2 linked regions of the Canis lupus familiaris genome follow. The protein of the gene in region 2 interacts with the protein of the main gene of each other region in a pairwise test. Links are inferred from orthologs where the notes say so. Each region holds a gene or a part of one and is shown on either strand. Other genes may lie near its edges. The genes, in order: MARCHF1 and FURIN.

Region 1 (4,340 bases), on a different chromosome or scaffold from region 2:
ATGCTATTTTAACCCAATAAATAAGATACTCTCACACTCTGGAATGTTTTCTACCGTTTCACAATAGTTGACTATCACTCTTAACTTTACAATTCCAAAGAAGCTGAGCCACCAAAACTTCTCAGTCAAAAAGATTTTACTTGACCAATTTCCGTATGGAAGGCCTACACAAAAGTCAACACTGCAATGTTTTGTGATCCATAAAACATCCTTAAACTGGAAGTTGAAAAACAGCATGGAAAAGCCCATAAAACCATCTCTGACTGAGTTCAAGATACCATTTTGCCTCAAGGAAGGCAGAGCGATTCGCTGTGTTACAGACCCTACAGTAGCTGTTCAAATCAGACAACTGCAACAGCGAAAACAGGAGGCCGTCTAATAGAAACCTAGTCCTCCTACATACTCTCTTCTTAGGAATCTTCCAGCATTCTGACATCACGCTCTTTTCTATGACCTTGAAACATCCCTGTTGCCTCCTCTGGGCAAGATACTATAGTTTTACCTTTGTCTTATAAGGCAACTTCTTCTTACCTCCCCAGCTAAGCAACCGGATGTAACAAGATGCCCAAGTATTTGTGAATACCTTAAAAAACATCGTGATAATATTCTCTCTCTAGCTCAGGGATATTATTTTACTTCGTATTTTTAAAGACAACATTGTACTGCCTATCAAATATATGAAATCATATATATTTATAAGATGCTTACACTTTCTGAGCACTTTCCTCACATATTCTAGTGTATGTCTAGTGTATGCACCCAGGTCATTGTTTACCTTCTTGGGTAAATATTTTCAAAGCCAAAGATTTCAAACATAAAACGTAACCTGTTACCTTTAATGGAGATTTTTACTTACCACATAAAGGGAATAACATATTCTATTGTTAAAGGAACTATCATCTCCCAAATACCACTAGCCAAATGCCGTATGCCTCCTGCTTACGACTGCTCACTCACTGTCTGACTGGGATTACATATATTTGAAACAAATGCGTATTTTTATGTTGGGTACACCCCATCGCATAAGCACATCAGCAGCCCCTATGTTCACTGGGCTTATTTCAAAGAGATTTTGTCACTCTAATATGTAAGCAAGGCAGCCAACATCGGCAACAGGTTCTCTAAGAACCTTCATGTTAAAGCCCCTTAACTTTTACTATAAAGGGAAGCGTACAGCAAAGTTAAAGAGCAATAAAACTTTTGAACAAACAGGTGGAGCCCTTTGTGATGAGAAGTCAGGAAACAATGAAATAAAATTACTTCTGAATCACGGAGTAAATGTCGCTGCTAACCCCAAAAGCCCTGGATCCGGGTAAGCTCGTATCAGGGACCTCTTAATATAACCTAACACAATCAAAAATCTAATTACTGACTTCCCAGGAGGAGCGACGAGTGTGTAAAGGCCAATAGTGAGCTTTTGCAAAAGCCAAAAACTGATGTGACATCCTTTTAGTCCCACCAGTTACATCCAGTACAATCTCCCTCCCTCATCTCATCCAGGCAGCTCCTTTTCCACTTCCACCACATGGTTAAATCCCACTCATCCTCCGCTAGGTCTGTTCTAAAGAGACCTCCCACTTTACCAGAAGATCAATCGCTGGTCAAGAAAATTCACTTTTATTCTACGCTATTGGAAAGATCACCTGTCCTTTAAAGAAAAAGCAAGGGTCTCAAGGCAAGCCAGCCAGCCTTTTCAAGAAAAAGAAAGTAAAATTGCGATTTGCGTTATAACAGGTTGTTACTTTCTTCCACCGGCCGGGCCCCGCTCGGAGGCTGGAGGCGGGCCCTGGAACCTGGGCCGCGAACCGCGGGCAGTCGGCGCGCCCCGCCCCGCCCCGGCCCACGCCGGCCCCGGCTCACACCTCGGCTGCTCTAGATCGCGGCGGACGAAGCCCCAACAGAAGGTAACGGAGCCCCAAAGTAGCAAACTTTCGTGCTTCTTTTGGAAATGGCTCCACGTTGAAATCGGACATCCCGGTAGGTACCGCCAGTGCTCTGCGACCTGGAAGCCGGAGTCCGGGCAAACGGGGGGAATTCGCTGATGGCGCGGGGCTCGCGGGGCTCGGGGCGCGGGGGTCGGCGGGGGTCCTGCGGCTCCCGCAGCCCGGAGTCCCCGCAGCACCCAAGCCCGGCCCCGGCGAGGCGGCGCATCCCCGCGCTGGAGCCCCCACGGCCCGCAGGGACCGCCCGACACTACGAGTGACCCCGGGCGCCCCGGGAAAACGCGCACCTGCCCGGCCGCGCACCTGCCCCGCCCCGCCCCGCCGCGCACCTGCCCGGCCGCGCACCTGTCCCGCCCCGCCGCGCCCCTGCGGCCGAGAGCGCGGCTGCCCCGGGCGCCCCGGGAAAACGCGCACCTGCCCGGCCGCGCACCTGCCCGGCCGCGCCCCTGCGCCGAGCGCGCTGCTGCCCCGGGCGCCCCGGACGTCCCCGACCCGGCGGTGCCTCGAGCGCTCGCGGAGACTCCGGTCCGCCGGCCGCCGGGGAGCTGCGAGGCTCGCCCGGCGCCTGCAGCAGCGACCGCCGCCGGGGGCGCAGGACACCCCGGGTCCGAGTCCGCTCCCAGCCCCGCCGGCGGCAGCACCCGAGGCGCCCGGAGCCCGAGCCCACCCGACGGCCGCCGGGCACCTGGGCACTGGGCGCCGCCGCCGGGACGCGGGCTGCCCTCGGGAGCCCCGGCGCGCTTCCCGGGGGCGCGGCTGGCGGCCAGGACCCGGCGGGCGGGCGCGGTGGGCGCCCCGCGGCCCCGGAGAGGCGGGGCCCGGACGGAGCGGGCCCGCGCTGCAGCCGCCGGGGTCCCCCCCGGAGCCTCGCTCGTCGCCGGCCCGCGCTCCGGCACCTGCCGCCCGCGCTCCGAGCCGGGGCCGCGCCGAGCCGCGCGGGGTCGGGGGCCGGGGCCGGGGCCGGGCCGGGGCGGGGCGGGGCGGGGCGGGGGCGCTCCCGGCAGAGCCACTCACCGGCGGACGGCGAGGCCCGGGCGGCCACCGGCCCGAGCGCGACAGGCGGCCCGCGGCGCAGCAGCTCCAGCCTTTGTCAGCGGCGGGCGGCGCGCTCCTCCCCACCCGCGGACGCGCGGCGGCTCGGCCCGCAGCTCCCCCGCCCCCTCGCCGGGCCGGCCTCACTCGGCTCCCATGATGTCATCCGGCGGAGGGGAGCCGCGCGGGCCGACGCCAGCAGTCCCCGCCGCCGACGGGGGCGAGCGGGGCGGGGCGGGGCGGGGCGGGGAGGAGCCGGGCGGGGAGGAGCGGGGGCGCCCCCGCATCCCGCCCGCGCTCGGTCGCGGAGTCCCCGGCGCGGCCCGGACGGTCTGCGCGGAGGGGCGGGGGGGAGGGGGCGGGGCCTGGGTGGGGGCGGGGCCGGGGGCGGGACTAGGGCCGGGATGGGGACGGGGCTGGGGCGGAGCTGGGGGCGCCCGCCACCTGCCCGCGCTCGGTCGCGGAGTCCCCGGCGCGGCCGGGACGGGTCTGCGCGGAGGGTCGGGGGCGGGGAGGGGGGCGGGGGGCGGAGCTGGGGGGGAGAGGGATGGGGATGGGGGCGGGGATGGGGGCGGGGCTGAGGGCGCCCGCCACCTGCCGGCGCTCGGTCGAAGAGTCCAGGTGCGGCCCGGACGGGTCTGCGCGGAGGGGCGAGGCGGGGCAGGAAAGGAGCGGGTCGGGGGGCGGACCTGCGGGGGGAGAGGGGTGAGGGCGGTGCTGGCGGGAGGAGCTTGGGCGGCGGGATGGGGGCGGGGTTGGGGCGCCCGCCACCTGCCCCCTCTTGGTCGCGGAGTCCCCGGCGCGGCCCGGCCCGGCCCGGACGGGTCTGCGCGGAGGGACTTGGTGGGGGGTGGGGGGTCGGGGGTCGGGATGGGGGCGGAGCTGGGGAAGAGGGATGTGGGCGGAGCTGGGGCGCCCGCCACCTGCCCGCTCTGGGTCGCGCAGTCCCCGGTGCGGCCGGGACGGGTCTGCGCGGAGGGCCCGGGGGGGGGCGGGACAGACGGGGGCCGGGATGGGGGGGAAGCCCGGGCCCGAAGTGCGCGCCCCGCGGCAACGATGCCGGAGTCGGTGCGGAGGCTGACGGCAAAGCCAAGGGGCGCGGGGAAAGTTTTCTGGCCTCCCGGCCGCTCGGGCGCCCCAGGGCCGGGGCCGCTAGGTGACAGCCGGCGCAAGGACCGGCGCCCCCGGAGCCCCCGCCCCGGCGAGGAGGTTGGGGGTCGGCGCCGAGGCAGCCTCCGCGAGGGGCGGCTGAGCGGTGCACACGCTGCGGCTGGCGCTGCCCGCGGACCCCAGCCCCCGGGGGGGCCCCACGGCCTGCTCGCGGCCGCCCGCCGACGCCAGCCCCAGGCTCCCCGAAGGCCATCA
Region 2 (3,798 bases):
AGGGACGCCTAGGTGGCTCAGTGGTTGAGCGTTTGCCTTTGGCTCGGGCATGATCCCGGAATTCCGAGATCGAGTCCCACATCTGGTTTCCTGAATGGAGCCTGCTTCTCCCTCTGCCTGTGTCTCTGCCTCTCTCTCTCTGTCTCTTATGAATAAATAAAATCTTAAAAAAAATTAAAGTGTAACACAAGAATAAACAAACAAAAACAGGGAAACACAGGGAGAAAGCTAGGAGAGACTGCCCAGCGTCCTGGAGAGGCCAAGCCGGGACACCTCCTGAGGAATCCCGTGCCTCCGCACCTGGCTAACCCCCCGGAAGAAGGCCTCCTCGGCAAGGCGTGCAGGTCCATCCACGGTCTTGCCGTCATCCTCAGGACCCCAGCTGGCACTGTAGATGTGGATGTGGTTGGGATTCAGGCCCAGAGAGCGAGCCTCCACCGCGTCTGTCACCTCGCCGTCCAGCATGCGCACCCCTGGCCGTGGAGGGGGGTGAGGAGAGGGATACTGCGTGGGTCTAGCTTCTAGGGGCACCCCCCCCCCAAAGCACACCCAGCCCTGCACCTAGAGGACACGCAGGGGAAGGCAGAGGCCAGTGCTGGGAAACCCTGAGCCCTAACTCCCTGGCCTGCCTCTGGCTCTCCAGGGCAAGACCCCAAATGGAGAGAGAACACATCCTGCCTTCAACCACATATCCTGGCTTAGAATGAGCCTCTGCATTCTTAAGGGACCGTGATGATCAAACCCTGCCATGTAAGATGTCAGAGGATTCAGGGAGGATCCTGCTAAGAAACCCTCGCCCTGCCCCACAGCACAGGGCCACCAGCACTGGTGGCCTGGCTTGAGTTGTCAAAGATTCTCTAAGGAACAGCCGTGTGGTCAAAAGGATCCCCAGTGGCAAAGTGTCAGGCACTGGCCAGACGGTAAGCAGGTAGAGAAGATCCCAAAGGGCCCTCCCAAAGGACAGGGCTGTCAAGTCCCACACCCACCTCCAATACGGGCATTGTAGGCCACGCCAACACCACAGACACCGTTGTTGGCCACTGCGGCCACCTCGCCTGCACACCGTGTGCCATGCCTGCCGGGACCAACAGCATGACATTAGCAGCGGAAAGAACATGGCAGGTGCAGCCTGAGGAATAGGACGGATCAGCATCCCCCTCCCCCACCAGCCACGATCACTGCCCCACCTGTGTGTACAGTCCCCTCCCACAATGTCCACTCTGTGGCCACCTCTACTCTGAGCAAAACTGGAGCAGGACTATGGGAACTTCAGCCTACTGGGGGAGCAGGTCTTAACCCAGGATCAACCCTGCTTCCTCAGTACAAGAGAAGAGAGGTAAGGCAGGGGCCAGGGGCCTGCCATCACTTACCTATTATCATTCATCTGTGTGTACCGAGGCTGGGGGTCAGGGTCCTGGTCATTAACATCAAAGCTGGCCCCAGGATCCTGGAGAGGACATGGCCATCATCAGGAGCAGTCTGACTGTAGCTGGCAGGGCAGGACTACCAAGACACCCCTCAAGAGGGATCGTGCCTCCCTCCCCCACCTCCTCACATAATTGCCTGCCAAGTCTGGATGGTTCTTCTCGATGCCGTCGTCCAGAATGGAGACCACAATGCCATGCCCCGTGTAGCCCTGAGCCCAGGCCTCCTTCACGTTCAGGTCCCGCTGGGTGACACCAGACTGCAGAGACACCAACCCCAGCACTCCAGGACTTACAGGATGTGACTGGTTGTGTGAGATTAGGGGGACCCCCGAGGAATCCCTTCACTGCCCCTAAAACCTCTTTCTCCATCTGCCCCTGCTCCTGCAATGCTAGCCTTGGTCAGCTGGGTTCCATGGGAGTGTAAAGAACTCTGAATGGGCAACCCCCAGGCTTAGCAGGAAGGGCTGGGGAGACAGGGCTTGGCAGACAGAAAGAGGAAGAATGAGGGGAGGCCGCCAAGTCAGCCTCATTCTCCCATGAAAGCCCTCAGTGGCCGGATGGATACTGCCAGGGAGGAGGACCCATGACCTGAGGAAGCAACGTACCAGGTACCACTGCTGGGGAAATTTGGGGTCTGTGGGCTCCTGGTACACATCCCGTTTGATCCTTCGCTTTGCCACCTGCTGCTCCAGCCACTGCACCTGTGACAGAGTGTGGGGGGGGCATGTGGGCAGAGGAGGGAAGGCCAGGAGAGGCTCCAGAGAGGGGGAAGGGAAGGGTGGCAGCAAGAGGGGCTGGGGCCGCACTCACTTGAGGCTCCCTCTGCAGCCGGCTGTGCCGCGGGTGGTGAGGCGACAGGGACCGCTTTGTCACCGCTCGATGCCAGAAGTGGTAATAGTCGCCGAAGATCTGCAACGGAGCAGGGAGACTGAGCTAGGCTTTCCATCTGTCAGTCCCTGGGGAGGCAGCGGACGGGGGTGGACAACCGGGCTGCAAGGGGAGGCTTGCAACGGCAGGGGGTGGTAGGGCATCTGTTCCCTGCCCAGGACCCCGCGAGGAGGTGCAGGGCACGGAGAGGGACTCACCCTCCCTGGGACAGTCTGCTCCTCCGAACAACCTATGTCAGAAGCCCAAGAGCAGGAGGAGCCACTGCTCCCATCCCCCTTGCCACCCAGAACGTGCCTACTCCCCAGATGGCCGGAGAAGATCAGCCACAGCTCCTGGTCCTGGTGCCTGAACCCCTGCCCTCACCAACCCCACCGCAGTGAACACCCTATGCCTAGGCCAGCAGGCAGTCAGAGCACCTACCTGACCCAAGTTGAGGAAGCCGTGCTTGCGTGCCAGGCTGTCAGCCACGGCTGGGCCTCCGGGAATGTGCACAGCCCAGGTGTTGGTGTAGACCTTCTGGCCACGGGCGTCGGCTGCCAGCAGGACCAAGGCTCCTGCTGCTGCTACCACCCATAGCAACCAGGGCCTCAGCTCCATGGGGGGGACAGGTGGCCGGGACCCCGGAGCCCCCGTCTCCTTGGCCTGGTCACAGGGCCTCGGCTCCCGCGTGCCTGCTCACTGCCTGTGGCCCGGGGCTGACTGGTGGGGGCATGGGGCCGAGCAGGGCAGGGCTGTGAGGGGAGGAGGGCTGCCGGCTCTGAGGGAACAAGGGAGGAAGAGGGGGAGACAGTCGGTCACCCCAGCCACGTGCTAAAGCTGCCTTCCCACCCCATGGCTCAATCCAGGCCTGCAAAGGGCCCCGGGGGAGACGGGGGGAATCCAGCTCCCCGCCAGGTCAGCCAGCCAGCCAGATGGACGGACCCCCTCCACACAGACACACAGACACACAGACACACACACACACACGGCTCCTAAGCCTCCTTCCACACAAGAATACGGAAGTGGGATGAAGAGTATCAGGCTTGAGTCATCCAAAATCAGAAACAACAACAGAATAAATGTTCACCACAAAGTAAGAAAGACATGGGTTATAACGCAGTATGTCTACACATGACCCCATTTTGTTTTTAAAGAACTATTTATACATGTATACTTATATATAGCCACAAAACAAAATCTGGAAGAACACATGCTGAAACGTTAACGATTCTCTCAAGATGGTGATGATTACAAATAACTGTTATTTTCTTCTTTGTATCATTATATATTTTCCAAATTCCGAGGTACATTTTATAAAATGTTGGCTTCTCAAAGTTTTTTAATGGGTGGTGTCTACACAGCTCACTAGGGTTTCCTGGCCCAGCAAAGCAGACCCAGCCACAGGGAGTTACCTGCAAAGACCCACAGCCCCTGGGAAGAAACACTGGGTGACCCTCAGAGGGATGGGGTTTTGGGGGCCAAACACAGAGATTCCTGTGGAGGA

Evidence for each region.
Region 1: the proteins of FURIN (region 2) and MARCHF1 interact in a protein complementation assay, tested with the Homo sapiens proteins (2 studies listed by BioGRID). The link is inferred for Canis lupus familiaris from reciprocal best matches to the Homo sapiens genes FURIN and MARCHF1.

The regions. Positions count from the first base shown.
Region 1 is NC_049236.1:61,001,691-61,006,030, forward strand, and holds the start of MARCHF1 (E3 ubiquitin-protein ligase MARCHF1), read right to left. Parts: upstream 2,975-4,340; 5' UTR 2,958-2,974; intron 1,978-2,957; exon of another isoform or gene 1,840-1,977; intron 1-1,839. UniProt on the Homo sapiens protein: E3 ubiquitin-protein ligase that mediates ubiquitination of TFRC, CD86, FAS and MHC class II proteins, such as HLA-DR alpha and beta, and promotes their subsequent endocytosis and sorting to lysosomes via multivesicular bodies.
Region 2 is NC_049224.1:53,849,207-53,853,004, forward strand, and holds part of FURIN (furin), read right to left. Parts: intron 3,073-3,798; 5' UTR 2,913-3,072; coding exon 2,736-2,912; intron 2,337-2,735; coding exon 2,238-2,336; intron 2,129-2,237; coding exon 2,033-2,128; intron 1,685-2,032; coding exon 1,556-1,684; intron 1,448-1,555; coding exon 1,371-1,447; intron 1,076-1,370; coding exon 987-1,075; intron 474-986; coding exon 301-473; intron 1-300. UniProt on the Homo sapiens protein: Ubiquitous endoprotease within constitutive secretory pathways capable of cleavage at the RX(K/R)R consensus motif. Mediates processing of TGFB1, an essential step in TGF-beta-1 activation.